Notamacropus eugenii: one gene and its partners. The protein of the gene in region 2 interacts with the protein of the main gene of each other region in a pairwise test. Links are inferred from orthologs where the notes say so. Each region holds a gene or a part of one and is shown on either strand. Other genes may lie near its edges.

What was found.
Region 1: the proteins of CAMK2B (region 2) and RAP2B interact in binary tests that used the Homo sapiens proteins (3 or more experiments, as listed by UniProt). The two-hybrid records come from large-scale screens. The link is inferred for Notamacropus eugenii from reciprocal best matches to the Homo sapiens genes CAMK2B and RAP2B.
Region 3: the proteins of CAMK2B (region 2) and CCM2L interact in binary tests that used the Homo sapiens proteins (3 or more experiments, as listed by UniProt). The two-hybrid records come from large-scale screens. The link is inferred for Notamacropus eugenii from reciprocal best matches to the Homo sapiens genes CAMK2B and CCM2L.
Region 4: the proteins of CAMK2B (region 2) and ACOT7 interact in binary tests that used the Homo sapiens proteins (3 or more experiments, as listed by UniProt). The two-hybrid records come from large-scale screens. The link is inferred for Notamacropus eugenii from reciprocal best matches to the Homo sapiens genes CAMK2B and ACOT7.

What each region holds. Positions count from the first base shown.
Region 1 is NC_092877.1:375,391,080-375,398,183, reverse strand, and holds RAP2B (ras-related protein Rap-2b), read left to right. Parts: upstream 1-4,102; 5' UTR 4,103-4,803; coding exon 4,804-5,355; 3' UTR 5,356-6,860; downstream 6,861-7,104. UniProt on the Homo sapiens protein: Small GTP-binding protein which cycles between a GDP-bound inactive and a GTP-bound active form. Involved in EGFR and CHRM3 signaling pathways through stimulation of PLCE1.
Region 2 is NC_092872.1:522,555,659-522,563,507, forward strand, and holds the start of CAMK2B (calcium/calmodulin-dependent protein kinase type II subunit beta), read right to left. Parts: upstream 3,017-7,849; 5' UTR 2,648-3,016; coding exon 2,583-2,647; intron 1-2,582. UniProt on the Homo sapiens protein: Calcium/calmodulin-dependent protein kinase that functions autonomously after Ca(2+)/calmodulin-binding and autophosphorylation, and is involved in dendritic spine and synapse formation, neuronal plasticity and regulation of sarcoplasmic reticulum Ca(2+) transport in skeletal muscle.
Region 3 is NC_092872.1:431,208,664-431,216,512, reverse strand, and holds the start of CCM2L (cerebral cavernous malformations 2 protein-like), read left to right. Parts: upstream 1-4,842; 5' UTR 4,843-4,857; coding exon 4,858-4,887; intron 4,888-7,612; coding exon 7,613-7,780; intron 7,781-7,849.
Region 4 is NC_092876.1:44,698,633-44,706,127, forward strand, and holds the start of ACOT7 (cytosolic acyl coenzyme A thioester hydrolase), read right to left. Parts: upstream 3,005-7,495; 5' UTR 2,957-3,004; coding exon 2,334-2,956; intron 1-2,333. UniProt on the Homo sapiens protein: Catalyzes the hydrolysis of acyl-CoAs into free fatty acids and coenzyme A (CoASH), regulating their respective intracellular levels.

The DNA of each region.
Region 1 (7,104 bases), on a different chromosome or scaffold from region 2:
GAGGCAGCATGGTGAAGGAGATATGAGTTTGAATCCTGCCTCAGATACTTATTAGGTAATGGTAGACAAATGAAATAATCACTTGGTACCTCAATACCCCCTCCCATTAAATGGAGGTGTGAGCATCTTTCTTACAGGGTTATTGTGAGAATCATATGTGAAAGCACTAGACAAGCCCTAAAGTGTTACGTGGTTATCAGCTATTATGAATTTATGAAAGAATCTATACCAATCATTTTTACCAACTGGAACACCTTGAACCTAAATGCTGGGTCCTAACCCTGGGTGCTCCCAAGAACTTGAGTAGGATGTAGATTTCCTGGAGGATTATATCAGGTAGGCAATCAATCCCAACTTAGTAAGAACCAGGAACAGTGCTCACTGCTGGACTGTCTCCAGAGGAGTCTGCTGGGAGAGAAAGTGAACTGGATTTGGAAACAACTTTGCTTTTTGCCAGTGGTAATACCTGGACATGGCACTGCTTGCCCTGACACATGTCTTTTTTCCTCATTTGTAATATGGGGGGGGAGGGGTGTACATAAGAGGATCTCTAAAGTTTATTTTGTTTTGAGTTTTAAGCCTATGATCCTAAGAGCTCCTTCTTTATCTGACTGGGGTTGTTGTCTGCCTGGTACCTCTTGGCACCTCTTGGTACCTCCCTGCTCCCTCATAGTATAAGCCCATAGGCTACTTCCAAGTCACGCTGCTTCATGGGATGCAAGGGACAGGGACAGTCCTAAGACGGTGCCTACTAGGTGGCATTAGAGAGCTCTTTATGAAAATTCTTCGAGATTTAAAAAGGACATAATTGTAAAATAACAAAGTCATAAAATACACATATGTATATTTAGATATATCATACACATATGCAAAAAGTATGCAATGTGGGAAAGCTTCCTGTTTTTTTTCTTCAATATTTCCTGGCTATAGAGGAAGGATTAATACCTGTTACCTCAGTTATAGCCAGAGAAGCCTTTAACTCTAGAGTCAAATGACCTTGGACTTCAACCACGGTTCATTAACTGTGTGACCTCGGGTAAGTCATTTATCTCCTTGTACCTCATTTCCTCATCTCTAAAATGAAGCTTTTGGACTAGATGAACTCCAAGGCCTTTTCCAGCTCTAAATTCAGCATCCGGTGACCTGTTTCAAAGAATATGACAAGTCAGCGTCTGGTTTAACCAAATGCAAAGCAGGGCCTTCCACAGGGTGTGGTGGGGGCCACACCCTCCTCACCTTTAGGCGAGTCCCGGAGAAGGCTGCAGCCTGCAGCCGTCCCAGACTCGGAGCTATCTGAATAGTTTCCTCCAAGAATTTCAGTTGCATTACAACAGCAACAAAGTTGCCTCTTGCTCTTGAAAAAGTTTGGGATTTGGGGCTTCGGCCGTCCTCGATCACTAGGCATCTTCCGTCTAATCCTGGGTGGAAGGGGGAAACACAATTCGGTCTGAGTCTCGTACTAAACCCAAAGCCTCCTGAAGGAGCGACCCCAGCGGACCCCTCTTTATGGGCCAGCCGAGCTCTTTCTCACGGCTCCCAAGCACCCCTGACCCATCCACTCCTCCCTCGCCCACCTCCTCGTCTGATCCTAAAATCTGAAGACAGGTCTTGACATCTCTCCTCCTCGAGAAATAAGGGAGGGTCGGGACAAGCCGAGGCAGCTCCCCGTTACCTCCCAAAGAGCATGAGGGAGCCAACAATCCCACCCCTAACCAGAGAGACTTGGAGGCAGGTCTGGGCACTTCTCCCTCTCCTCCCTAGGACTGGCTTCTTGGCCGAGCCTTTCCCTACTCCCCGCCCCCCTTTCCTTCGGGGGCAGGACTAGGTGTGGTGTTAGCTTCTCCCTTCCCAGGCCAGAGCGAGGATTCTCCGCTGGCACCCTCCCCCGAGCCCGCTGCAGCCGGGAGAAGGGATTGGCAAGCTGTGCCCACCCTAGCTCAGCCTAAAGAGATACGGACCCTGGGGTCTCTAGGCTCAGCACCTCTAGGTCTACTGCAGCCTGTTCGACTTTGTTCTCCCCAAACAGCTGCTTTGGGGGGGGTGGGCAGGGAGAAGCAGGGGGAGGGGAAGGGAAGGGACGGGAGACACCGCTGAGAAACAGCTGGGCCTCCGCCTCTTCACTTAGTCTCTATTGATAACCAATCACAAATGGGGGATACTTTTCAGCCAATGAGGCCCTGGAGCCTGACACAACCTCGGCGACAGCCAATGCCAGGCTACCTGGGGGCTGCGGGGAGAGGAGGATTGCACCCGTCGACCAATGGGCCCCGAGTTTGGGAGAGGAGGTAATTTGAGAGCCAGGGTGGGTGTGTCCAGTGAAACCTTCCTACTTCTAACTCCCGCCCCCCCACCAGCTGCCGCTCGTACTGAGCATGCTCAACTCTCTCCTATCTCCTGCCCGCCTCATAGAACAGTTCTGACGGGCTTAGCCAGATTGGCCGGGTTTTCCACACAGCCTAGAAAAGTCTGGAGGGAGGGACCCAGGATCCTGCAGGATCCTCGCACCCCAAGTTCTGCAGTTGGTCCCGGCTGGAAAGAGAAGGTCGGGGGCCCCGTGGGCGACCTCCAAGGACCAAGGAACCAGCATCAACCGCAGAGATCCCGCCTTGGCTGGCTGCGGTCCGGGTCCCTGGCTCGAACGCCTCCCCCTCCCCCCCCGCCAACCCCAGTGGTCCGGCAAGGGTCAGTGGCGTGGGCCGGCAGAGGTTGACGGGTTTGGGACCCAGAAGTAGATGTACTCTCTGTATGCGGCCAGACCACATCATGCTACTCTCCGCACGTCTCCCCATTTCCATCACTAAGCATTCTGCCTCCCCATTGCAAAATCAGAACACTCGGGGTTCCAAGCTACCTGGAACCTTAGGGTTGCAAGCACAGTTTGTTTAGCTTCCTTAGGGGAATGGGGGGTGGCGGTGAAGGAGGAGCAGAGCACTCTGGGGCTCGAAGTCTGGGGAGCACCTCCTGCGATCCAACAAACTGGCACCACTAAACTGGCAAAGAGCCTCTATCCCCGGTCGGGAATGATAAGTAAAGATAACGGCCCTACCTAAACTCTCAAGGATTTCTGGCCCAACCTCACTGTACAGTGGAAGATACAGAGGTCAAGAGAGGCAAACTGACTTGAGAGCTGTAGTAAGCATCTAAGAGAGAATTAAACACCGGTCCTCCATTCTTCGTCCTTGTGCCACGCAGTCCAGGTTCCTACCCCATTTTAGGGAGATGGAAGCCGAAGTACAGAAAGAAGAAAGAACTTAGGGTAGCAACTGGCCAAGCCGGGGTCAGAGCCCATGTCCTCCAAATTCCAGTTCAGCCTTCTTTCCAATGCTGAGCGCTTGGCCAGTTTTTAAGCTCTCCAAACTAGCCACGATTAAGGGTTAGTATAGCAATCAACAAAGATTTTTTAAACGACTCCTATGTGCCAGTTGGGGGCTGCAAGGTCAGAAAAATAAAACAAGTAACCGCTCTCAGGGAGCTAATATCCTAGGGAGAAGACAAGGTGTACTTTCAAAAAAGTCGCTACAGAAGAACACAGGTGATATTTGAGAAGGGAACACTGGTAGAAGCTGGGGCATCAAGATACATACAATATATGTGGAGTGCCCCCGCGTCAACACTCTGCTTGGGGAGCACAAAGCCAGAGAATGGCACCCGCGCCTCTGCCTGCTCCCAAAGGGGATCTCCTGGATTCAGCAACGAATGGTTTTCCCCGGAAGGCATCCCAGAATACACAAATGGGGAGGAGGGCACCCAGGAGCCCCGTTTCCCCCCAATAAAACCGCCTTCCAGTGCGTCCCCCCGTCACTTGTCAGTCATCCCTCCATCTGCCTGCCCGGTGTTGTGGGTATCTGGATGCAGGACCCCCTTCATGCCCTCTTGCTAGGAGGGCATACAAATAATAGATCTTATCCTGGAATTGTTTTTCCCAAGGCTGGTGCGCTCATCTCTGGCACCCAGTCCACCTCAACTCCAGCTCAGGGGACCCAGTCCCAACACGAGCCCACAGCTTTCTTGGCTCCGCCCCTGCCCCGGCCCTCTAGGAAAACCCGGAAAAGCGGAATCCTCCCCCCGGCAGCCTCGCCACGACTCAGCGCCCCCTCACTGGGCATGCTCACTAAGGCAGGGCAGGTTTGGGGCTGTAAGTAGGAAGCTGGAGCACTCCCAGGGCTGCTGGGGAGGGAGGTACGGACCGTGGGGCTGTTGGAGGAAGGAGGCAGGCACCACGGGGACTCATGCACCACGCGCTCGGGGCTGGGGCGCAATTAGCAGCCGCCTCCGCAGCCTGCACCCGTCCTTGCCTCTGCTGCCACCGCCGCCAGTGCCAGAGCCTCTGCCACCCCTCCTCCCAACGCTGCTGCCGCGGGTGAGGAGCAGCCCCAGCTACCGCCGCCGCCGCCACAACCGCAGCAGTAGCAGCAGCAGCCCCAGCCCCGGCCCCGGCCGTAGTCCGTGCCCGGCCGATCGCCCGCTCCTTCGCCAGCCCGGGCATTGTCCCTGCGCCTGCCGCCGCCGCCGGCCGCTTGCTACCAGTGCCCCAGCCGCCGCCGCCTGAATGCAGGGCACGGAGCCCGAGTGAAGCCTCGCCGGGGTGGGCGACCACCCCCCACCCGCAGCTCTTTGCTTTCTCTCTCCCTATTCTCTCCTCCCCCGCTGGGTACTAGGAGAGAGCACCCGGCAGGAGCCGAGCTAAGCTTTGCGCAGGTCCCACTCCTTCCCCCTCTGCCCCCACGCCCCCCGGGGGGCCCAGGCCGGAGGGAGGCCGAGAGCGGGAGAGACTCTCGGGGAGGGGGGGGGGGGTAAGAAGCCATGCGAGAGTACAAAGTAGTGGTGCTGGGCTCGGGCGGAGTGGGCAAGTCGGCCCTCACCGTGCAGTTCGTGACGGGCTCCTTCATCGAGAAGTACGACCCCACCATCGAGGACTTCTACCGCAAGGAGATCGAAGTGGACTCGTCGCCGTCGGTGCTGGAGATCCTGGACACGGCGGGCACGGAGCAGTTCGCGTCCATGCGGGATCTGTATATCAAAAACGGCCAGGGCTTTATCCTCGTCTACAGCCTGGTCAACCAGCAGAGTTTCCAGGATATCAAGCCTATGCGCGACCAGATCATCCGCGTCAAGAGGTACGAACGGGTGCCCATGATCCTGGTGGGCAACAAGGTGGACCTGGAGGGCGAGCGCGAGGTCTCGTTTGGGGAGGGCAAGGCCCTGGCCGAGGAATGGAGCTGCCCCTTCCTCGAGACGTCGGCCAAAAATAAAGCCTCGGTGGACGAGTTGTTCGCGGAGATTGTCCGCCAGATGAACTATGCGGCTCAGCCCAACGGGGACGACCAGTGCTGCTCCTCCTGCGTGATTCTCTGAAAACAAGGGGTGGGTGGGGGAGCTTCTTCCTTCGGGCTTGTGCTTTGGTTTGAATTTTTATTGGTTTCTTTTTTTTTTTTTTAAAGAAAAAAGCGAAAGCAAAATACAATACTTCTTTCTCAATGTGATTTTTTTAATTATTATTTTAAGATTGGAAACAACTTTGCAGCGTACAAGGTGTGTTCCAGGTGGGGGCTCATGGCTATTTCAACTGCAGCTGACGAGCCCCAGTGCTCAGTGTCATGGGGGTGGGGGGAGTTGTCTTGTATTTAACATCTGAACCTGGGTGGAAATGTGGCGCTTTCAAAGCATGTACATTCCTCTCGTGGATTTCTTTGATAGTTGCCTGTTTTCCCACTTAAAGCAGCCGTTAGAGAGCTGTATTGGCAACTTGACACCAGGCAAAAAAAAAAAAAGTTTTAATCTGGAGGGAAGGGATGGGAGCTGGAGGAGGATGGGAGAGAAAAAGGCTTGTCAACAACCACTTTCCAAATGGAAGATTTAAGTACCTAGACCGGGGAAGGAAGTGCAGGAAAAGCCTGTGAAGAAATGAAAGGAGAGGAAGAAACCCCGTTTCCAGGCATGTGTGTATGTGTGTGTGCTGGAAGTGAGGGTTAACTGCCTTCCCTGGCAGCCTGGAAGTGCAACCCTGGGACTGATTACAATTCTGAGGATTTCTATGCAAAGTTGGATTATTGTTACAGTGTATCCAATCTGAAATATTGCACAACTGAACTTGGACTGTTTACACTGGTGCCAATGCAGTGTGGAGTGCCAGAAAGTGTCTGCTGATATTTGTGGAAAAAAAAAAAATCTATTTTGTTTACCTACTGTATCAAATGGGAGTCTGGGGGAGAGCGGGAGTGTTTTTTTTTTTTTTATCAGCTGTGAAAAATTACAAATCTGCACATTTTTTTGGTGGGGTGCTTTGTTAATTTTGTTTTGTTTGGGTTTAGGGTTTCCTTTTGGTTGGCAATAACTGATTTTGATGACCAGATCTTTAAAGTACAGTACAAAGACTTCCTCAAATGTGATTCAGGGGCAACAGCGACCCTGTGTCTAGAGTGCCTTCAAAACTCAGCTGTTCCAGCCGTGCCAACCTGTGAAAGTTCCACAAAATCCCATTATCTGCTATGACTCCCCAAAGTACTTAACAGTTTCCTCTCAGTAATCATACCCAACAAGCCGAGACAAAATGGCCTGTTGTTCATGGAATTTCTTTTGATTTCTTTTGGAGCCTTTTACATGTAATTTCCATGTTTTGCAAGTACTCCTGGCTTCACGTAATTTAAATTTTCAGGTATTTAGTGCCCTTTTCCTTCCCTCCCTGGTTTTTTTTTTTTTACCTGTCTTAGGATATTCCTCCAGCCAAGAGCAAAGTTTTAATGTTGTGATGTACCAAGCAGATTCTAACTAATTGTAATTTTAATTCCAGACATGCGTTTAATGGTTGTCTCTTCATCTAAAGACTTTTAATACAAATACCATTTTTAAAAAAATGCAAACCCCAGAGGCCTGTTTGTGTTTTTGTTTGGTCTGGTTTCATCCATTGTATGAAGTCATACACTGTCAAGCCTGATATGGAAAGAGTCATGACTTAAGTCATAACTGAATCTGAAAGTGTTTTTATCCGGGTCTGAATGGATAGATGCAAGTACTTTGGTGGAGAAGTGGGTGGGGTTCATAGGATCATAAATTGGTTGGAATGTTGCCTTCAATTCTTAAGACTGGGAGCAAAACCAGGATGAG
Region 2 (7,849 bases):
TTCAACTTGAACCCAAGCCTTCACTTATCAGCTCTACCACACTACCTTTCTTTCAATTCATTAAACATTTATTAAGTACCCTTGAATACTGAGCACATAGCTAGACACATACGAGAGAGACACAAAGTTTGGAAGAAGAGAGGTCCTACCCTCAGTGTAGCAGAAAGTTATGACATAGACAAAAGTATTTATACAACGAAATAATACATCGTTAAGTATATCTTGGCAATGGAAGCAAAGTGGTACATAAAGTGGGGAGTTGAAGGGGGAAATGAGATCATTTCTAACTGGGGAAGCTTAAGCAGAGATGCAGGAGGAGAGCTACAGAATTGTAAGGGAGCTTAATAAGGGTGCGGAGGATCAGGAAATCCCTTCATACTGCCCTCTCCGATGGCCAGCGCTTGGAGTTCTCAGGAGATTTTCAGTTAGCAGTGAGCCAGGTATCTCACATCAAGGTATCAATCACAAAGGTATTCTTGAGAAAAGAAAATGTGGACCAAAGAGTCTGGTGAGTACATAAAAGATTTTCCAGAGCTTCAATGACCTCAGAGCAAAAGGAAATTGGTTGCCTTTCCCAACCCACCTCCACCTGAGTCCAAAGCCAGGATAATCACAGACAGAGACACATAAAATCTTAAAAATTACTTTGTGTGTTCTGCTGGTTTTACAGATGAGGAAAAGTGAAAGACTTGCCCAAAGTCACACAGCTAGTTTACGGCCAAGCCTGGAGTAGAATCAAAATCTTTTGCCCTCTTATTCCCCACCCCCTCACTTCTACTGCTAGGTCCTCACCTTGGCTTCCCAGTGCCACCAAGGGTTTCCTGCCCACAGAAGAAGATGAGCAATTAATTCTATTTCTCTTGGAATCCCATCTCACTAGAGCAATATGTTATAGAGCTGCTAGACCCCCTGGGAAGCCCAGCCTGGAAGGCTCAGGATATGGGAAATAAGGAGAGCCAGCCAAAGAAAGAAAAGCTATGTCTTTATTCCAGGGTTAACTTATTATGGGAATACTGGTAGATGAGGTTGCACACCTTCCCACAAAGGAATTTCAGAAACCAGTCTCTCCGCCGCCGGCTTCAACCTGTAGGCCCCTAAAACAGGGTTGCTGTGAGAGGAGCGATCTGTTGCCACTGTAAGGCCTGCACGCCCTCCTCTAGCTTCTGTCTGTTTCCTAGCAGGTGCTTCAGCCGGCCTCCAGGCACCCGGTAGAACCTCACCCAAAAGCCACTGGCACTCTGTCCAAAATCCTCCCCTCCCTGATGTCCACGACTTCCCAGAGGAAGCACGGGAGTGGAAGACAAGGAATGAGACCTTGTAAGGAGTAAATTGAGCAAAAGAGCAAACCTCATGGAAGGACTTCACACATACATACACACACACACACACACACACACACACACACACACACACACACAATCACATCCTTTCTAGCTGGTCTCAGTGGAAGGGGCTAAAGAGTACGAGCTTAAGGATTCAGCCTCAGGGTATGGGGGAGGGGTGCTCAGAACCCTGCAGGTTCTCCCCCACCTCGGCTAGCACTTACACCCAACACACCCCAGCTCGCAGCCTCTTCTTCCTTCGCCCTCAACCGGCCTCCCCGCCCCCGCCGCCCCAGGAGAATGGGCGGGCCTTCTTTGGGCATCTCCACCCAAACCCCTGCCGGCTTCTGGAGATGCAGAAGCCAGCAAAGCGGTGTGCCAGCACATGGCCGGGACAGCCCGGCGGGTGGAGTGCCGCCCCTAAACCCCAGCCCCCAGCCCCACCCCGACTCGACATGTGCAGGATCCTCTCCGAAAAGGCGCTGAGCGCTGGGGAAGTCCAGCGGCAGCCCTAGCCCCCGGAGCCTCCCGACTGCACCGCCGCAGCAGCTACGGGCAGGGGAGCTGGGCAAGCCGGGGCCGCCGCGGGGGGTCGGCTTCTTGCCACTGAACGACCCCCTCCCCCAACCCCCTCCAGTTCCAGCCCTCGGTCCTCCCCTTAGCGAAATGCGTCACGTCTGCATGCTGCTAGGGAGGCACCTGCACCCGCCCCCGCCGCCCCCACGCCCCTAATAAGCCCCGGGCGCCCGGAGTGGAGCTGCCAGGGCTGGAGAGGGAGAGAGACAGCGGGGGAGGGGCAGTGAAGAAACAGGGCACCCAGAAGACTGTGGCCATGCTACCGCCACTGTCACCGCAGCAGCCGTACCCAAGGAGCCACGCTGTCCGCCTGGCCCTGGGACGCCCGGCGCCGGAGAGCTCGCAAAGAACTGGGAGGTGCACGGGGTCCGCAATGCGCCCCCCGCCCCTGGCACATAGACACCCCCGCGTCCCTGGTCCTCCCCCCCGCCCCGACACACACACACACACACACACACACCACAGCGATACATGCAAGCACGCACAGACATTTGCAGACAGACACTGGGCGCTTCCTCGCGGGGGAGGGGGGAAGGGGGGCACTGAAGGCATGGGCTTCCTCCTCCCGCAGGGCTGGCGCAGCCCCCCACAGCCGGACTCACCTACATGGCCCTAGCCCAGCCTTCTCCTCCCCGCGGCTCCCCCTGCAGCCCTCCCCCAGCGCGGTGCCGCCTGGATCCTTACTTGCCGATATCTTCGTAGAGCTGGTACTCGTCGGTAAAGCGGGTGCAGGTCACGGTCGTGGCCATCGCTGCGGCCGCGGAGAGGGCTCTGCGAGCTGCCGCTTCCCCTGCTGCACGCTCTGGGCTCAGGCTATCGGCGGCGGCGGTGGCGGCGCAGGGCTCCCGGGGAGGCGCGGTGTAGCCGTCAAGCTGATCGGGCTCGGGCTCGGGCTCGAACTCGGACTCGGACTCGGACTCAGGCTCGGTCTCGGGCTCCGGCTTAGCCCCGCAGCGGCGGCGGCGGCGGCGGCGGCGGCAGAAGCAGCAGCAGCAGCAGCGCGGGCAGAGAGTGACACCTCCGCTCCAGGCGGGGGGCCGGAGGCTGGGGGGCTGGCTCTGGGCAGCGCAACGCGAGATCTGCTCACTGCGTGTGTGCCACACACCTACACGCGGGAGGAGGCGCGGGGCTCTGCCGCACACGCCGTGGACCGGCCCCTCCCTCTCCCTTGCGCGGCACCCCCCCACACACACAGACACCACGCACGCGGGGACCCGCACACAGCACAGCGTGGACCCACCCCACTCCTCCTCCCTGCGGAACACACACGCGGGGAAATGCTCCCAGCGCGGACCCACCCCTCCCTCTGCCCTGCCGGCAGGACCCTCCCCCCCACCCACAGTCACCCTCGAGGAGGCCAGCACCCCCGTGGATATGTAGTTCCACTGCACACTCGTGGGCGGACCCTCAACCCCCCCACCCCACCCCTTCTCCACACTGCACAACACCCTTCACACTCACACCCGAAAACTGAACGCCAAGTTAACCAATCCGACCCCTTCTCCCTTCAGGACACCCACGACTGCAGACAGGGTAGGTGACCCAACTCCGATGCCTGGAACACCTAGAAACCCTTTCTCTAAGGCTGAGGCAGGAGATTTGGTTTTGAACATAGACTATAAAGGCAGGGTGGAGTAGGGCAGAGCCCCTGGGGAGGGGCAGCAGCAGGGTTGTGAGGAGGTGGGAAAGCTGCCCCCTTATTTAACTCATCCCCTCAAACAAACTGGAACCCCGAAGGAGAAGGTAGAGTCCTTCCACCAACTGGATCCCTGGGACCACAGCTCCTGATTTTAGCCACCCTCCTAATCCTACCCACTCCTATCCACCCCCACTCACCCCCTACAAATGGTAGTTCTGAGCAAACGCAGCTCTGAGGCAAGATAGAGGGGGCAGGAGGTTAAGCTAATAAAAAGCAGACAGTCTCTTCCTACCAGCCACCATCAGGCATCTCTGGGTAGCTCTAACCTTATGGTCATCCTTGCTCTAGAGAGGGGACATTTCCTCCCCCTTCTACCAGGGCCCTTTGCCCACCCACCTGCCCACTCTTCAACGCCTGGAAGAGGATATATTTCCCCAACTGGAAGGGAGGCCCTGGACCCAGATTGCAGGCATCAGTCCCTCACTGCAAGGTGCCAGAGCTGTTGCTATGGGCAGCAACAGGGAGGAGGAGATAAGGATGCTGAGGAGGGGGAGGGAGGGAGTGGAAGAAAAACTGACCCGGTTTCACAAACAAGAAACCATTACTTCAGGGTCAGGTGCTGGATCTCTGATTCCCCAAGCTTCATATCTAGAAATTATGAGCAAGGAGGTGTCTGGCTGCACCTACCAGGATGGAACATAGTCTCAGTTCACAGAAGGATAGCCAGGAGGGTCTCCAGGGGCCATCTGGTCCAATCCCCTTATTTTGCATGTTAGGAAACCAAGGCCCACAGAGGTTAAGGTCACCCTAGTAGTGTCAAAGGAAGAATAGGAACCTGGATACTCTGACCGAATAACCATTGCTTATTCCCCTGATGCCTGATGGCAATGCCTTCAGTACCTTCCTTTAGGTTAGAATAGAGGAGGTGGTCGTCCGGGTTAGAGTCTGCTTATTGGAGAGTGTTGAACACTCGCTGTTGGAGCCAAAAGAGAGAACTACCAACGCTCATCTCAGTACAGCATAAGGAATTCTGGGTTTGAGGTCACGGGTCCAGAGTTTAAATCCTGGTTTTCTTCTTTAATACTTCTGTGACCTTGGTGAAGTCTTCACTTCTCAGACTTACTTTCCTTATCTGTAAAATGAGGGGGTTAGGGTAAATGATCTCTAAAGTCCCATTCAGCCCTAAATCTATGATCCTATAGCCTACGAAGCCTGGTTTCATCTGGCACTACTAATCTCCTCCTGAATCTAAACTGCATTCATGGTTATTCCTCTGAAGGGCCTCACTGCCCTGCTCCCAGAAAACAGGACCTCCTCAGGTTGGCATAATGAGATGAAATGACAGAATGCAAGAGACAAAACCCTGGCATCCATCTCCTGGCATCTTCTCTTCAATTGCTGCCAGTTGAACTCCTAGTCAGGCCTCCACCTTCCAGATGCCAGTGGTTGGTCCTTCCCAGGCAGAGGCCCCTTTATCTCCCCCCTTCCAGGGCCTCCAGTGCCAGTCTGTCCCAAGACAGGACCCCCTTCCACCTCCCCCCCAACCCCCAGGGCAATAACACAGGCAAAACAGTGCACTCCCATCCCTCCTCCAATCTTTGCCTGTTAGAAGAACCTCCTGGAACTTCACAGAAGACAGTATCACTACCTGCCATGAAACTGGATTGAACCCTGGGCAAGTCACTTGACCTTTGCCTGACTCAGTTTCCTGAACTGTAAAATGGGAATAATAATAACACCTATCTTGAAGGGTTGCTGTGAGGATCAAATAAGATAATATTTGTAAAGTGCTTAGCACAGTGCCTGCCACATAATAGGCACTTTACAAATGCTACTTATTATTATTATAATTATTATTAACAAAGAATGACTGGAGCCTTCTGTGTTGCCTAAAAATACATCCATATTTCTCTCATGCTTAAAAAAACCTCATCTGATCCTACCATATCCTACAATTGTCCTAGATCTCTTCTTGGCTAAACTCTTTGAGAAAGCTGTCTACACTCTCTCTTCTCTCACTCTCCTCTCCAATCTGACTTCTGACCTCATCATTCAATGAACACTTGACTGGACAAAGTTACTAGTGACCTCTTAACTGACAAATCCAATGGCCTTTTCTCAATCTTCATCTTCCTTGAACTCTCTGAAATCCTTGACACTGTTGATCATGCACTCGCTTCTCTGGCCTTTCATGATATGACTGTCTCCCAGTTCTCTTCCTTGCTACCTCTCTAACCAGTCATTTGCAGATTTCTCATCCTTGTTATAACCACCAACCATGGCTGTCCCCCAAGGCTCTGTCCTGAAACCACTTCTCTTTTCTCTCTATACTATCTTACTTGGTGATCTCATCAACTCCCATGGGTTTGGTTATCATCTCTATGCAGATGATTCCTAGGACTACATAATAACCTTAGTCGCACTTCTGAGTTCACATGATGTATTATCAACTGATGCATTTTTAACATCTAGAACCAGATATCCTGGAGGGAACTCAAAATCAACATGTTCAAAACAAAATTTGTTCTCTTTCCCCCAAACCAGTCCTTCTCTCCATCTCTTGAGCATCCCCATTGTTGTCAACTATACTCACCATCCTTCTAATCACCCAGATTCCCCACCTCAGTATCATCCTTGACTTTGACACTCTCACTCAACTTACATCTCCAATCCATTGCCAGAGAGTGTTGCTTCAACCTTCACAATATATATCACATATAACTCCCCTCCTTTCTACTCACACAATCTCCACCATAGTTCAGTCACTCATCAACTCTCTCCTAGATTATTGCCTCTAACTGGCATCCCTGCCTCAAGTCTTTTATTGCTCCTTAATCTTACTCCCTTCTCTCTGAGAATGTCCCTAACGTGTCCTGTATGTGGCTTGTTTGTCTGGGAAGCTGAGTGGCATTGTGGACAAAAAGGATGGCCTGGAGTCAGGGAGACCTGAGTTCAAATCCAGCCTTAGACACTTACTAGCTGTATGTCCCTGGGTTAGTCACTTAACCCTCATTTGTAGAATGAGCTGTAGAAGGAGATGTCAGGCCACTCCAGCATCTCTGCCAAGAAAACCCCAAATGGGGTCACGGAGAATCAGACATGGCTGAACAAGAGCAGCAGCAAATAGCTTGTCTGTACATAGTTGTTTGTATGTTGTCTCCACCATTAGACTTGAGAGCAGGGATTTTTTTCCTTTGTATCTCCAGGGCTCAGAAGGGGTTTAACAAATGCTAGTTGACTAAGTGGGCAGCTAGGTGGTGCAGTAGATAGAGCACCAGTGCAAGAGTCAGGAGGACCTGAGTTCAAATCTCACCTCGGACACTTGGCACACACTAGCTGTGTGACCTTGGGCAAGTCACTTCACCTCAGTTGCCTCATCCTGGGTCATCTCCAGTCATCCTGATGAATATCTGATCACTGGATGGATCTGGAAGAGAAGTGAGGCTGGTGACCTGCACAGCTCTCCCTCACTCAAAACAAAGTCAAGCGCAGGTCATGTCATCATTTCTCTGAGGGCATGGTCTTCTTTGGCAACAAAGGACGAACACAGGTGACTAAGTGGCTGAATGATCCACTGATACCAGTCTGCTTGTTTCTTAACTGTGAAATCCCATCTCCCATCTTGACATCTTTGTCATCTCTGACTCCTGGCGTCTCTGGGTTCCTTCTTCTTTCTAGGGGAGGCCTTTCCTGGCTTCCAGAGCTGCTATCGCCCTCTCTATACGATGACCTTCTATCTTCACTGTCTATACATTGCGTGTATCTAATGATTTCCCTGTTGCCTCCTTCATTAGCATGTATGCTCCTTCAAGGAATAGTTTACCTGTCTGATCTATGGAGAAGGGAAGAATTTATAACCAAACAGAAGATAGAGAATATTATGCAATGCAAAGTGGATAATTTTAATTACATTAAATTAGAAAGGTTTTGCACAAACAAAACTAATGCAAACAAGATTAGAAGGGAAGCAGAAAGCTGGGAAACAATTTTTACAGTCAGTGTCTCTGATAAAGGCTTCATTTCTAAAATATATAGAGCTGAGTGAGCAGAAGCAGGAGAACACTGTACACAGTAACAACGGTATATGATGACCAACTTTGATAGACTTAGCTCTTCTCAGCAATACAAGGATGTAAGACAACTTCAAAAGACTCATGATGGAAAATGCTGTCCACATCCAGAGAAAGAACTATGTAGCCTGAATGCAGATAAAAGCATACTCTTCTTTCTTTTCCTTTCTCATGGTTTTTCCCTTTTGTTCCAATTCTTCTATCACGAAATGACTGATGTGGAAATATGTTTAATATGATTG
Region 3 (7,849 bases), about 91 Mb from region 2:
TAGGTCAAGTTGGGGAGGGGAGGGTTAGTATGGGAAGGTTCTTTGGACTGCAGGCTTTGGTTTGGGATGTACACTGTTCCCTAAGTGGGTCTGCTCTGACCTTGGGAGGGCTCTGATGGGTGGGTGTGGGTGCAGGTGTGGGTGGGAGTGAGAGAGAACATTGGTTGTGTGATTCTGCTAAGGGGGTTACCCAAGAAAAGAAGAAACTGGAATTGGGGATAGATGGGTAAACCTATCTCCCAAGCCCAGAACTGTCCCTGGAAATATGACTGCCAGGAAGTGGGGTGGGATGAGTAGCCTGAGACATAGGCCTTGGTGGGTCCTCCTTGACAGTGTCATGGCACCTCAGCTCCCTCTCCCCAGGAAGGCCTTGAACAGATGAGATCCTCCTTACCCAGGGAGGCATCCTGGAAAGGCACATTTCTATGCATAATCACAAGAGCTGGAGACACTGCAATAATTCAGGGGAGGGGGCTCTTGGCTCCATCTATTCCATGAATGCCTCAGACCAAGTGTAAGAGAGAGCATCCAGATCAACTGAGAGAGCCCCTGCCTACCCAGGCTGGAATCCTGATCAGCTGCAAACTGCCTCGAGTTCCCATAGGGCTAAAGCTCCCAGATGAGTTCAGTGCTTTGAACCATGAACCAAGCTCAAAACCATGAGCTTGTCTAATCCTACACTGAATTGAATTCACTCAGCATTTATGAAGTTCTTGCCCTTTGCAGAGCTCATGGATCTAGGCTCCAGGGGCCATATAAAGATCTGATTGCAGATGCAGCCCCCACTTTAGATGGGATTCCAAATTCAGACATGGTTCAAGTTTGAACACCTCCCTCTTCTTCCTCCTTCTTCCCTGTCCCCTACTCCTTGCCTATTGACTGACAGGAATCCTCAACTACAGACTCCTCTCAGCTTAAGCCCCAGCAGCTTCTGCTCAGTGGGTTCTCTGTCAGCTCATTTGCCCTACTGGGTACTGGCCTTGCCAACCCTCACCCCCTCCTCTTTCCTCCTTTCAATTCCGTTGCACCCTCCCTCTGTCCTCAACCTTATGTCTCCCTCCATGTACTTCAATATTGTTGGTGCCACCCTCTTCTTCCTCTGCCTTCCTCTCGGGCCCAGGCAGGGGGAAGCTAGGGGATCCCAGGCCGGGCTTTCTGTACTGAGACTTTTTTGTATGCCACAAACTTTTTGTATATTTTTAATTTTGCTGCAACATGAGATATTAAAGTCATTTCAGTACAAACCCCTCTGGCTCTTGTGGATGTTTCCTGAATTGAAGAAGGAGAGACAGATGGGAAGCCACAGCTTAACCTTCCCTACCAAGCCTCCCTCTTTGGGGGAAGGGTCTGTCTCAGAGCAACAACCAGGAATTCTGACCCTTGGGGGAAAAAATCAGTGGAGGTTGGGGGTAGGAATGGGAACCTGGCATCTAGTCCTATGAGAGGTTGAGATAGTCTGGAAACAGAATCATGGGAGCTGAGTAGGCTGAGAAATCGGGAGACCGCGGTGTTTGAAAGTGGGCAGAGGTTAGGGAGGAGAAAATGTGAGCCAGGTACTGAACTTATTGGACAGGAGAGATAGTGACCCCAAGATATGGGGATCATTGCAACAGGAATCTGGTTGTATCACAGAGAGTGTAAAAGGGGGCACAGAGAACCAGGAATATGCTAACTGCTCTTCTTGGTATTATGCATCAGGCGGTGTGTGAGAAGGAACAGCCACCCTTTCACCCTTGGAAAATATGCCAAGAGATGGGGTGTCTTTAGGAGAAAGTTGGGGATGGGATGGAGGCAAGACCAACTGGGATAAACGGGAGTGAACTGGACCTTCCTCTCAAATCTAGACAACCTACTGGGCATAAGAAGTGAGTCCCCCTGCCTACCTCCTGCTTCAGTTGTGGGGAATAGGGATGGGGCAGCGAGAAGCTGAAATCTGTGTTTGATTTCCTCTTCTGATTAGAGAAAGGGATAAACCAATCAGTGAGACTGCTTTGAGCCCTACTCTCCAATTATACCATACAACTAAAGATCATCCAAACCCTTCTTTCTACAGATGGGAAAAGTGAAGCCTAATGAAATTAAGTGACTTACCCAAAGTCATAAAACTAGTAAGTAGGCAGAGCCAGTATCTGAACCAAGTTCTTCAGATCCAGGGCTCTTGATATATGGTAAGTGACAAGAGAAGGAGAAACAAAATGTCATCAAATGATTTAAAGATAGGAGGCTTCATGGAGGAGGCAGCATCTGAGATGGGCCTTAAAGAAGAAAAAGGATTGCAACAAATTAGACATTTTGGACTTTTCGCTGTGAATAGATGGAAACCTCTGAAGGGTTTTGAGTAAGGGGAAAGATGACCAAAATGGCTCTTTAGGAAAATGAGCATAGGAGGAATAGAAGTAGATTCTGGTTAGGGGACTAAAGAAATATTCTAGGGAAGAGGGGTGGGGGCCTCTGCTAGGGGGGTTAGATTAAGCAATCCCTAGGGTAGGGGTAGGGAGCCTGTGGTTTCAAGGTCACATGTGGCCCTCTAGGTCCTCAGGTGCAGCCCTTTGAGTTCAAGTTTTACAGAACAAATCTTTTTATTAAGGGGATTTGTTCTGTGAAGTTTGGATTCGGTCAAAGGGCTGCACTTGAGGACAAGTGGCCTCAAGGCTGCAGGTTCCCTACTCCTGCCCTGGAGTACCTTCCAGCTCAGATATCTCCTTACCAGCTGACACATGCTTGGAGAGCACAAAAAATAATCTTTTATTATATTCCTATAGCATTTAAAAGTTTACAAAGTGGGGCAGCCAGGTGGCACAATGGATAGAACACTGGCCCTAGAATCGAAAGGACCTGTGTTCAAATCCTGTCTCAGACACTTGCTAGCTATATGGCTAGGCAAGTCATCTAACCCAGATTGCCTCCCCACCCTCCAAAGAAAAAGTTTATGAAGCACTATTTTCACAACTCTGCAAACCAAGCAATATAAATATTACTCACTATATTTTACAGATAAGGGAACTAAGGTTTAAGGTAAAGCCCTTAGCAACACATCTAGTCAGGGCTTGAGGCAGGATTTGAAGTCAAATCCAGTGTCCTTTCCATTATCCTGTACTACTTTTTTTTTTTCACTACAAAGAAAGCCTGGTTTTCCTTCCACAAGCAACCCTAGGAATTTGCAGACAACTCCCAAGATCTTACAGGGTAACTGCACTGCTGGGGAGGTCTGAAGTGACTAGGAGGATGTGTCATAGAGGACAGGAACTAAATATGCTCCCTTCCTGACTGGGACTGAAGCCTGGTCCAGACCAGCTTCCTGCCACCATGGCTAGAAGAGCAGGATATACAGAGAGGAAAGAGGAAGCAATTATAAGGCCTAGCCCTTCCCAGCCCAGGCCATCTGGCCTTTGGGGGTAGGGAGGGTGGGGAAAATAGGGAAGGCTGGAGGGATGGAGTAAGGGCCTGGGAAGTCCTCCATGATCCCCAAACCTGAGGAGGCACCTGTAGTTTCCACAAATAGATCACAAAATGTCAGAGCTAGAAAGGACCTCAGACACTGTTAAGTCTAAGCCATCTGAAAGATGTGGTAACTGAAGCCAAGAGAAAGAACATGAATGACTTGTCCAAGATCATACAGCCATGGTGGCAGAACTGGGAGTGGCAACATTATTTAAATCATCAATATACCCATAGCTGCTTCCTCCAAATAATCTCTTATTTTATTCAGTTCTTGGTATTTTTCCATTCCTTCTCAGGTAATTTTCACAACCCTGCTTTGAGGTAAATAATTATCCCCTTTTGAACAGATGAGGAAACTAAGGCCCAGGAAAGGCAAGCTATTTATACAGTATCACATAGCAAATGCAGAAAGTCAAGATCTGACCTGAAACTAGAACTCCAGTCGCTTGAGGCCAGTTCAGGCCTCATTTCACCAAGTTTTAGACATTCACAACCTAATGCTGATTCAGGGATCAGGGCTGTGTTTGAACCCCTCTTACCAGCTTGCCACAGCTGATCATTTCATGTGAACATCTACACCTTGGAAATCTGAAAATGCTACATATTAGGACTTGGTTGTTTTTGTTGAATGTTGAGTAGATTTAGGAAAGTGATAATAAGGGAGATTAAATCTTAAAGTATATCCTGCAAACAGATTTGGGGAGGAAGGGGAGACAGTTGTTAAACATTTAACAGCACCTTTCTGCCCATGGTGTAATATAAACAGTTCCAGGTTTGGAGTCAGCAGAACTGGGTTCAAAGCCATGCTTATTACCTATATGACCTTAGATGAAGCCCCTTTCTGAAGGTGGACTAGATGCCCTCCAAAATCCTCTCTGAATTCTGGGGTCCTGTGGTTCTTTGAGTGTTCATCAGATCAGAGAGAGTTTGGGATGGAGAGGAATGAAGGCATAGGAAGGGATCGTGAGGGGGTAGGGTCTAGTGTTGGCTCCTACGTAGCCAGGGACAGTATGAAGACAATGGGCAATACTGGGGTTTTCAAGAGTCTGAAAGGGAGGTTAAACTTCATCCCTAGGCACCAAGTCTGGATAGGAATAAAGTGCAGTCACACAGAGCCCAGCAGGTGTACTTTACCAGCTCTGATTATCTCCTATTGGCCCTCTGGGACAGTGGTTCCCATAACTTCCCCTTTATTCTCTGTTCTTACCCAGCTCTCCTCAAGAGGGGCTGCCACCCTGCTCAGAACTCCATTCCCTGACCTGGGGTCCCTGGCACTTCCACCCACTCTAGCCCAGCACTTCTTATCAGGCCAGGAGGGGCAGGAATTCCTGGCTTGCTTGGTGGAGTTTCCGAGGCAGGAAATACAACAAAGAAAATCTCCAGCCAGTAGAGAGGTGGGGGTTGGGGGGACACACCATGGAGTTCGAAGGGAAGAAGGGGAGAAAGGTATGTTTGGAGCTGTGGCTTGGGCATGGGCTTCAGGGCCCAGAAAATGGGGGATACTGGAGGGGGGAGCAGTGAGAGGGGGAAAAGATGCCTCTGGAAGGGTGAAGCCAATGTTAGGGCCTCTCTTATTAATGGATGAGATCCTATTACCTATCCCTGCTCCCTGAGACAGATAGATTGATCATAGAACTTAGAGCTGGAGGGAACTCGGAGACCAACTTTTTTTTAAGTCTAACATTTAAGTTAAGTTTCTTAACATTTTTGTATATTACGGATCCTTTGGCAGTCTGATGAAGCCCCTTCTCAAAATATTGTCTTTGAATGCATAAAAGCAAAGTATATAGGGTTATAAAGGAAACCCATTACATTGAAAGATGTAATATTTTCCCTATTCAAATTGGCTGATGGGGTAAACTAATTTACTGATGGAGTTCTAGTCCAATTCTCTCATTTTCCAGATGAAGAAATGAAGCCCTGAGAGAAAAATGTATTTGACCTTAGTATTAGTACAGTGAGAAGACTGGAGAGCTCTAAAGATAGGTCTAGCAAGGGTACTGGTTTTTCTCCCTCTCTAAGGCTGCTTAATGGAAGCAGCTTCCCAAACTGGCCCTTACTCAGAGCTGATTGTGTTAATAAGAGGGAAAGCCAGATGTCAGTCATATCTCTGGATGACACAGAAGAGCTACCTTGGGAGTCTGAATTTTGGGGGTAGACTTTCAGTCTGTCTCTGTTTCCTTGAGCTGAATATACGTCCCCTGGAAGAGCTTGTGTGGCAGGTGAGTCAGATAGAGAACACAATATTGGCATTCTTCTCTCATGAACCGCCTCTTGCTTTCTTGTTAACCGTGAGCCTTTCAGTAAGTGGTTTGGTTTAGGGACACTGGCCTAGAACAATTTATTTTTGTAAGCTGATTATGGGCAAGTCAGAGGTAGAGAGGCTGGGGCTCTTGTCAGGGTTATTGGCTTACAGATCAATTGCCCTGCCTTTCTGATTGTGCTAATACGTAATGGTACAACATCTGAAATGTATTCTGCAGCTGCTCTCAGTGGTTCCTGTTCTCTGGATCTTTTTCAGAGAAAAGACAGGCAGGCAGACTTCCCCCAACCCCCAACTTTCTTCTGTCCTCTTGCTTTTAATGGCTCTAGACTCCCCAGAACCAGATGGATTAGAGGGACAGATTGATTCAGACTGCCACCCCAAACTTATTTCCCCAATATTCTTAGCAGACCCTGCTGTCTGGACCTTCCTGGTTATCCATCCTCAGAATCCCCTTCCTGAATCTCTTTTTACAGTTCTCTCCTAGTAACTATCTTTTTTAGATTGGGATAAAGGTGGGTTCTAGGTCACTCAGCCCCTCCTAGGAATTCTGTCCCTCAGAGATCCCTATTTGTTTCTTTATATCTATCTGGGCCCATAGGCCCATCATGAATAAAGTGCTGTACTCAGAGTCAGGAACACCTGGGTTCTAATTTCACTTCCAACATTTGCTAGCCATGTAACCATGGAGAGGCCACTTAACCTCTCTGGGCCTCAGTTTCTTCTGTAAAATGGGGATCACAATACCCATAGACCCTAAATTGCATGATATATTTGAGGCTCAAATGAGATAATACATGTTAAGAACTATGTAAATGACAGCTTTTATCTGTCTGACCATCCATCTCTGAAAGTCACTATGTCTGATTTCAGAATTATCTGTCTCCTCTGGTCAGAGACTTATACTCTTCCCCTGGAGGTCAAGCAATGCTTAGACACCTTCCACCTGAACAGGCCAAGACTCATAGGGTTTTAGTGTATGCAAACTTCTTTGGCCAGACTCAGACTCACAAACGTACACACACATGTGCTCATACACCTACTTGAATGCACATGGACTAAGGCATTCACAAGAACACAAGAACTATCTTTCTCTCTCTCTCTCTCTCTCTCTCTCTCTCTCTCTCACACACACACACACACACACACATACACACACACACACACACACACACACACACAAGTGTGGTATAATGAAAAGAGGGCTAGAGTTGAAGGCCCAGCTCTTCTACTTGTGACTGTGGACAACTCATTTATCTCCTCTGAGCCTCAGGTTTTTTTACCTGTAAAATCAGGGGGTTGATCAGGTGACCTCTAAGTTTCCTTCCAGCTCTAAATCTGTGATCCTATGAACCATATGCAAACATAGAAGATACGTATACATCCACTCTCGCTCACAGATACCCATTCATATTTACATTTCCTGTAGATGTAATTGCATACTCAAATACGCACAACTCATGCACACACACAGCCTCTGGTCACACTTAATGTCCTCAGTAGTACAGACCTATCTAGGAGTGTGCTGGCAAATGTTTAACACCAATTCTCTAAAAAAAAAAAAAAATGCACACATGGTACACTTTTAATTTTAATCTGCATTAATATTTTCTCAGAATTAATATTCTCCTTCAGTCTAGACAATCAACAAAATAATGAGTTGAGCCCTGATTTGTAGTATTTACCAGTATTCAAGGAGTAAATACACTGAAAATTTAACAGTAAGCTCATAGGCATGAGATGCCTCCAGCACACCCCTGGCCCTGCCCTAATTCTGTCCTTATTGGGAATCCCCAAGTCATACTAGATTAAAGTACACACCCACAGAGCAAGGGAGACCCACTGAAGTCTGGCTGAACCCTTGGACCCTTCCCCAGGGTTCTCACCCCCCCACTCTTGCTTCCCTAGGGTTTTGTGTCCCCTATCCGCCGGCTGGTATTCCCTAAGACAGGGCGTCGGTCAACTGGGAGAAGTCCTGTAAGCCGACGGCCTCTCCACTCTGTGCCCCTGTATCCCCCGGACTACCTCATTGACCCCCAGATTCTGCTGTGTGACTACCTGGAAAAGGAAGTAAAGGTGAGGAGGGAGAAAGAAAATTACGTGGGAGGACACATGGGCAGGAAATTGGGACTGAGCCAGTCAAAG
Region 4 (7,495 bases), on a different chromosome or scaffold from region 2:
ACCATAAAGGAGAGGAAGTAAATGCCAATTGAACTAGGTCTCTGCCACTCCAGGCCAAAGTCTTTCACACTACTTCCTAGTGATTTACATGGGCAAGGAGAAACAGGACCACACCAAGAGGAGGTGTATTTCTCAAAGACAACAGAAACAGATGCAAATCAGTGGAGACAAAGGATCTGGGGGAAAACAACTGGTCTGCAATGCCCAGAGACATCATTTTAGGGAGTGTCACAAAGCACAGGCTCCCAATAAAGAGGATCAGATGAGACAATCAGCACAATACCTGGCACATAGCAAGCAGGATAGAAGTGTGCTAGGACAATGATGTTCTTTGGCTTTTTGATCTGTAAACAACTCTAGCTGCAGTGGTCGAGGAAATGTCCTCAATGGACCCTACCACCAAGTGGGGGGAGAGTGAAGCCAAAGTCAACAATAACGGGGCTTGGCCACTTCCTGCCTCTGTGACCTTGGGCATCAGTGTGGTCCAGCTCAAAGGCACTTCAGAGGCTGTCAAAACCAAGCATCCCTTGTACCCATGAGGAAACTGAGGTTCAAGAAAGTCACTGACTCGTCGAGGGTCAAACAGAGAGCAAGAATCAGCATCAAAGGCAAAGTATCATTTTACTTTCCTGGGTCTCAGTGTGCTCAGATATAAAATGAGGGAATTGGACTGGATTATTTCTAAGGTCTCTTCCAACTAAAACCTTCCTAATTTACATATGGAGGTCAGGAAAAGATCACAGAGATGATTAGAAAGCAGCAAGTCCAGGGCTCTAAGTGTAAGAGGAAAAAAGGTAACAGATCTTCCTTCCCTCCTGCCAGCTGACAATGCACCTCCCAGGCCCTGGCTGCACCAATTTAAAGGGGGTTGGGGGGAACCAGACTAATGAACAGGATCCCAAATCTAAGTTCTACCAGGCTGAAGCCGTTAGAAGGTGGGAACTGGGGAGGATGGCAGATCATAGGTAGAGATGGGATACAAGAAAGGGAGATCCTCAAGTGGGAACTGTCCATTGATGGTACAGAGGACAAAGGGACAAAGAGCAGAGAGCATTTCGGGGAGATCTGTGCAAGGTAAATAGATTTAACACAAGGTGAAGGTAAAAAAAATAAATAAAGCTCACTCAGGTGCCATTTGCATAAGGGAAGGGATGTGGGCCAAAGAATGGAAGCTGCTTGTTTTGTTTGGTTGTTTTTAATGTTTTACTTTGGGGTTGGGGTGGGGAGGAGGAGGGGGTGTGAGGGGTGAGAGTGTGGAGATCAGTCCCAGAGGGGGCTGGTCTTTTGATTGGTCTTACTCAGAGTGGAAATATATGAGGATGAAGGGTGGGCCCAGGCAGAGGGTTAGGGGTAGAGTCCCAGAGGAAAAGCTACTTGGGGGCAAATAAAAGAAAGAGGAGGGACCCCAGAGAGAAGGTACTAGGGTAGGGGGAGATGGGTATCACTGAGCATGGGGGGAGGGGTAGAAGTATCAGAACAGGGCCTAGGGTAGGTATTTGGGGGAGGAGGGAAGAAAGGAGGGGAAATAAAGGAGGTGGGCCTCAACAGTAAGGAGGTGGGAGGTTTATGAGGAATGAGATGAGAGGGTGAGAATAGAGCCGGCATAGGCTGCACCAGGTGGGGGGGGGGGGGGCGGGGGAGAGGAAGGAATTTTGGCGAGATTAGAGGTTAATAACGGAAAGTGTGAAAAGATGGGGCTCAGCTTGGGAGGCAGACTGGGAATAGGGGGAGAGGGCAAAGGAGGAGGGGATGGGGGTAGGGTCGAGAGGAGTGAGGGCACTTTGGGGTTGTCAGGGAGGGGTCTTTGGGAGGTTAGCCTCCCTGGGGGAGGACCGACAGCTGACGGGGTGGAGAGGAATAGGGCTGGGGGTGGCCGGGGTGAGAATCAGAGAGGTGCGGAGGTGTGGGGGGCTGATGAGGGGATGGGCAACATCCTGGGCTGCTGGGGGAGGGGTGCGGGAGGGGGAGGATGGGCGAAGGAGGCTCAGCCGGGGGAGGGGCGGTGTTTGGGGGGTGCCGGTATCTGGAGGTGAGAGCCCCAGAGCTCAAGCCAGGGCCCTGGGGGGTTCGAGCCGAGGGGGGAGGGGTGGAGAGGATGCTCGAACGAGGCTCGGCGGGTGGGGTACAAGCAGCGGAGAGGGGGGATGGAGGGGCCTCCTGGGGGATGGAGGCGGCGGGGGGTGCGATGGGACCTGGCTCGGCCCGCTCGGCCAGGCCCGGCCCAGCCAGGCCCAGCCCAGCCCGGCCCGGGGCGGTGACTCAGGCGGAGCCGAGCATCCTGCTCCCCGCCGGGCCTCGGCAGGTGCCCGCTCCGCCTCGGGCCCCGCCGTTACCTGCTGATCTGGATGGCGGACGGAGACGCAGTTTCTTCGCCCGACATGGTGTCGCCGCTTCCGACGCGCTGCTGGGACTCGCCGGCTTCCGAGTGGCCCAGGGAGGAATGAATGAGGCCGGGCGGCGCCATGGAAGGGGAGGGAAGAAGGAGGGAGAAAGGCGGACGGGGCGGGGCGACTGCTGGGAGACACCAATGAGACGCTGCCGCCGAGGCCAAGCCCCGCCCCCGGCTCCAGGCCGCTCCTCCCTCCGCCGAGCCCGGCCTACCCCTGGCTTCTCCGCCCTGCACTGAGCAGGCACCGCCCTCCGGGGGCGGAGGAAGAGGCGGGGCCGGCGCTGGGGCGGCCGGCGGGTGTCCTCGCTGCCCTTGCTCCTGCCTGCGGCTCCCACCGCCTGCCTGAGGGGAGGGCGACCAGGCCGCGCGCGAGCCCCTGGGGGCGGTTGGGCGCAAACCACCGCTTCTGGAGCGTTCCGAGACCGTTGGCGCCGGTTTCACGTGCCTCCCCCGCGGAGCGCGAGCCCACGCAGGCCCCCCGCGGAGCTGGCCGGAGCGGGGCTTGGCGGCCTGGGCGGCCTCCGGGCCTGCGGCCTTGGTCAGCCCCTCCATAATGAGCGTAAACATTCGTCAGGCCCTTCCGCGGCCCACGTAGGCCTCGGAAGCTGCCCAGCTGGGTGACCTCGGGCGAGTCACCTGACCCTTGTCCAGAAAACCCCGAACCGGGTCACGGATGACGCATCACCACCAGCCCCTTACTCAGCACCAGGCAGTGTAGACGAAGAAAAGCTAAAGACTGGAGCCCGCCCTCAAGGAGTTTATAGAGCGCTGCCCGCAGAGATAGAGGGGGCAAACACGGGGAGCCCCCCCAACCACTGGGGACCCCCAAGACTGGAGAAAGGCCTAACACCTGGACTGGCCAATCAGAGACATGTTGGGCTTCTGGGAGCTCAGCCTTGCATGGGACCCCAAATCCGCCTTCCTGGGTCAGTCTCTCAGGCCAGGTGAAGGACCTTCTGCCCAGGACCAAGACACCCACCTAAATGATGGGACTTTCCTGACATCGTCTCATGTTCACGACAGGACAAATACGGGCATCTAGGGCTGTCTTGGACATTCTCTCTTATCCTACTTATAGCCGATCCTGTTGAGAAATGCCTTTCTTGTATGATGGTTGATACATAAGGAGACTATAACATTGGCTGGCATGGGCATCTAGAGCAAGGAAGAGAAGCAGAGGGGTGAGAGGGAATCACCCCGAACATGGAACATCCCCCTTGTCTGTCTGTCTTTAAGGTTCATAGTGAGTTCCCATGCCCATCTTGAAAGAAATAAACATGCACATGCAGCCCAGTTCTGTTTCCCTTTCTTAGAAAGGAACCCAGTAATGGTTGACAAACAGGACATAAAGAAGTACCAACAGAAGTACCATATCATCTAGCCCAAGCAAAGACCTTAGATTCTTGTTTATTTTACCTCAACCCAATTTTTTTTAAAGAGATTGTTTATATAAGATCCAGGACATTGCAGTAAATATTTGCATCTGGAACTTTGTGTTTTCTTCACCTAGTTTCCAAGCCTTAGCAAGGAAAATGTCATCCCAGTAGGAAAATCTATAGGATGGCACCGATGGGAATCTACTTTGCTTAATTGAGGTGGTTTTCGTTGAAGCTATGGTTAGAAGGTAGGGATCTTTCTCCTTTTAGGAGGTCCTGGACTGTCCCTGGCAATCTGTAGAAGCTTACAGGTCGCCTCTCAGAAACATGCTCTTAAATAAATGAAATATTGAGGACGCCAAAAGAAACTCCAGTTCTATCGAAATTCACTTATCTAAATACAAAAACTAAATTCACAGACCCCAGCTTAAGAACTCTTGTTAAGGGAGTATAAGAACAGGGAAACAAGACCTGGGATTTCATGGACATAGAGAAGTGATTGCATTAATTTTTATTTCAAGAAGTAAAGCACTTTTATTTAAGAAGCTTGCTGACGTAAGGGGAAACAAAATGCAGAAAAAAGGAGACATTTGGCAGAAGGAGATACTGGGAGGAGGCCATGATGCTGGAAACACTCTCAAAGTCGATCTTTTCCACAATGTTCTCCGGCTTGATAATTTCTTCTTGGCTGCAAATGAAGACCTGTCCTACCTCAGTGGAGTTTCAGACACATTTGCTCATCTATATTTTCAGTTGGTTGCCTGACAGATCTCCCAGTATCTCGGCTGGCAGCCAGTAGTCAATATGTTGATATGTGATGCCCACCACATGGCACATAAATCTTGAGACAGAGTCTTCAAAGCCTGTGATGCCATTAAGGAGAAGGAGATCCATGTTCTTTTCTAGAACATTCCACAAAGCTTGGAAATGACAGGTCTCCAGCAAGTCTCCCAAGTACAGGATCTTCCTGATGGGCCACTCTTTTTAATGAGTCTAATCAATCATGCACTTGCATGTGGTGAGGGCCTTCAGCAGAATCTGGGCTGTCACTGTGGTCTGGAAGAAGGCCAGGTTGAACTGGTAGAGCTTGAGCATAGCCAAGTTAGCTTCTAGGTTATAGGTCTCCTTGACCTGGGTATCCACATAGCACTTGAAGTGACCAGGTTCTCAGGTTTATACCTGTCAATGCCCTTGAACACATCTGCTCAAACAACACCGTTTCTTCCTCCTTTTCAAAAGCAGATGCAGGGTCCAGAGTCACCGGAATTAGAAAGGATTACAATAATTTTTAAAGGGAATTGGGAAGGCTTATAACTACATAAATACAATTTTCAAGCCCTGTTCTCTCCCCTCAAAAAATGCCATATTTCAGAAGAGTTAGAATTATGGACTCATGCATAGATTTAGAACTAGAGGAGCTTTTGTGGTTATTGTTCACCTGTGCCCAACTCTTTGTGACCCTATTTGAAGTTTTCTTGACAGAGATACTGGAGTGGTTTCAGATGAGGGAACTGAGGCTGATGGGGTTAAGTGACTTTCCCAGGGGCACACAGCTAGTGTCTGAGGACCAATTTTAACCTAGTTCCAGACTTGGCACTTTATTCATTGCTTCTCCTAGCTACTACAGAAGGAATTTTAGTTTGGATTTTAAAATTCATCTAATTTAATCCCCACATTTTAGAGATAAGGAAACTAAAGCTGACAAGTGGTATACCCACAACTAATACAGGTATCATCACAGGATATCATCATCCATCAGCCATCAATTAGAGCTGAAATGGGACTCAGAGATCAGGAAGTCCAACTCACTGATCTTATGGAAGAGGTCACTGAGGTTCAGACAAGTTACCTGACTCACTCATTGCCTTATAGCCAGTAGGTAGCAAAGTAGGGATTTGAAACCTTTCAGTTCTCCTAATCAGGAATGCTTTTCTTTAAAAAAAATTTTCAATTTTATTTTAGTTCCTGTTCCAAATCCTATCCCTCTCCCAATACCATTGAGAAGGCAGGAAAAAGAGAATCCACTACAAATTCAGTGGTTAAATCATGTCCAGTTCTTTGTGACCTCGTGGACCATAGGATGTCAATGCTGTCCATGGGATTTTCTTGGCAAAGATACTGGAGTGGTTTGCCATCTTCAGTGGATGAAGGCAAACAGAAATTAAGTGACTTGACCATAGTCACACAACTATTAAGTGTCTGAGTTCAGATTTGTCTCCAAGCCCAGCACTCTGTTCTGTCAGCCATCTAGCTGCCTCCGCAAATGTGTATAGTCATAGAAAACAAATTTCCACATTAATGTGAGAGAGAGACAAAGACAGAGAGAGAGAGAGAGACAGAGAGAGAAAGACAGAGAGTGAGAGAGACAGGGAGAGAGAGAGAGAAAGAGAGAGAGAGAGAGAGAGAGAGAGAGAGAGAGAGAGAGAGAGAGAGAGAGAGAGAGAGAATGCTTCACTATGGACTCCAAATCCATCAGTTATCTTTTAAAGTTGATTATCTTTACAATATTGGTGTTACTGTGTAAATTGTTCTCATGGTTCTAATCGCTTCACTTTACATCAGTTCATGTAAGTCTTCCCAAGTTTTTCTGAAACCATCCCTGTCATTATTTCTCACAGTTCAGTTGTATTACATCTCATTCATATAACTTTTTCAGCCGTTCCCCAATTGATGGGCATTCCCTTGGTTTCCAATTCTTTGCCACCACAAAAAAAAAAAACTGTCAGATATTTTTGTACATGTAAGTCCTTTTCTTCTTTGTTTGATCTCTTGGGAGTATAGACCAGGTATTGATACCTCTGTCTAAAGGTATATTAAGATTAATACTTTGAGGAGCATATTTCCAAATTGCCTTCCAGAATGGTTAGATTGTTTCACAGCTCCACCAACAGCACCTTTATGTGCTTTTTTTTCCAAAGCTTCTCCAGGATTTGTCCTTTGACTTTTTAACATCTTAGCCAATCTCATAGGTATGAGACAGTATCTCAGTTGTGTTAATTTGTATTTCTCTTCTTCTTAGTGATTTAGACCCTTTTTCATGTGACTATTAGTAGCTTGGACTTCTTCCTCTGAAAACTACCTGCTCATATGTTTGACCATTTATCAACTGAGGAATGGCCCTTATTCTTATAAATTCTCTATGTATCTGAGAACTTAGACTTTTTTCAGAAAAAAACTTACTGCAAAGATTTTCTTCCCAGCTTCTCACTTTTCCTCTAATTTTAGCCACATTGGTTATGTTTCTGCAAAAACTTTCCAATTTTATTTAATAAAAAATATCCATTTAACCTTCTGTGAACCTCTCTAAATTTTCATTGATCATAAAACCTCCCCATATCCATCTATCTGAGACTTAACTTCCTTGCTCCTCTAATTTGCTTATATTTCCCTTTATGTGTAAATTATATACCCATTTGGAGCTTTTCCTGGCAAATTGTGTGAAATGTTGGTCTATATCTAGTTTCTGCTAGACTATTTTCTAGTTTTCTCAACAGTTTTTGTGTTGAAAAATGAGTTCTTGCAGATTGGGATCTTTGGATTTTATCAAATACTAGGTTGTTTGGGCTTTATTTCTCCTCAAATCACCTCATTTCTCTAAGTCTGTCTGGATGTTGTATTTCTCCAGTAAAAAGGAAATTCCTTGAAGGAAGGGGTTGTTTTCTTTTTGGCTTTGTATGCCAGTGCCTAATACAGTGTAGGTAGTCAATAAATGTTTTAAATTGAATTTAAA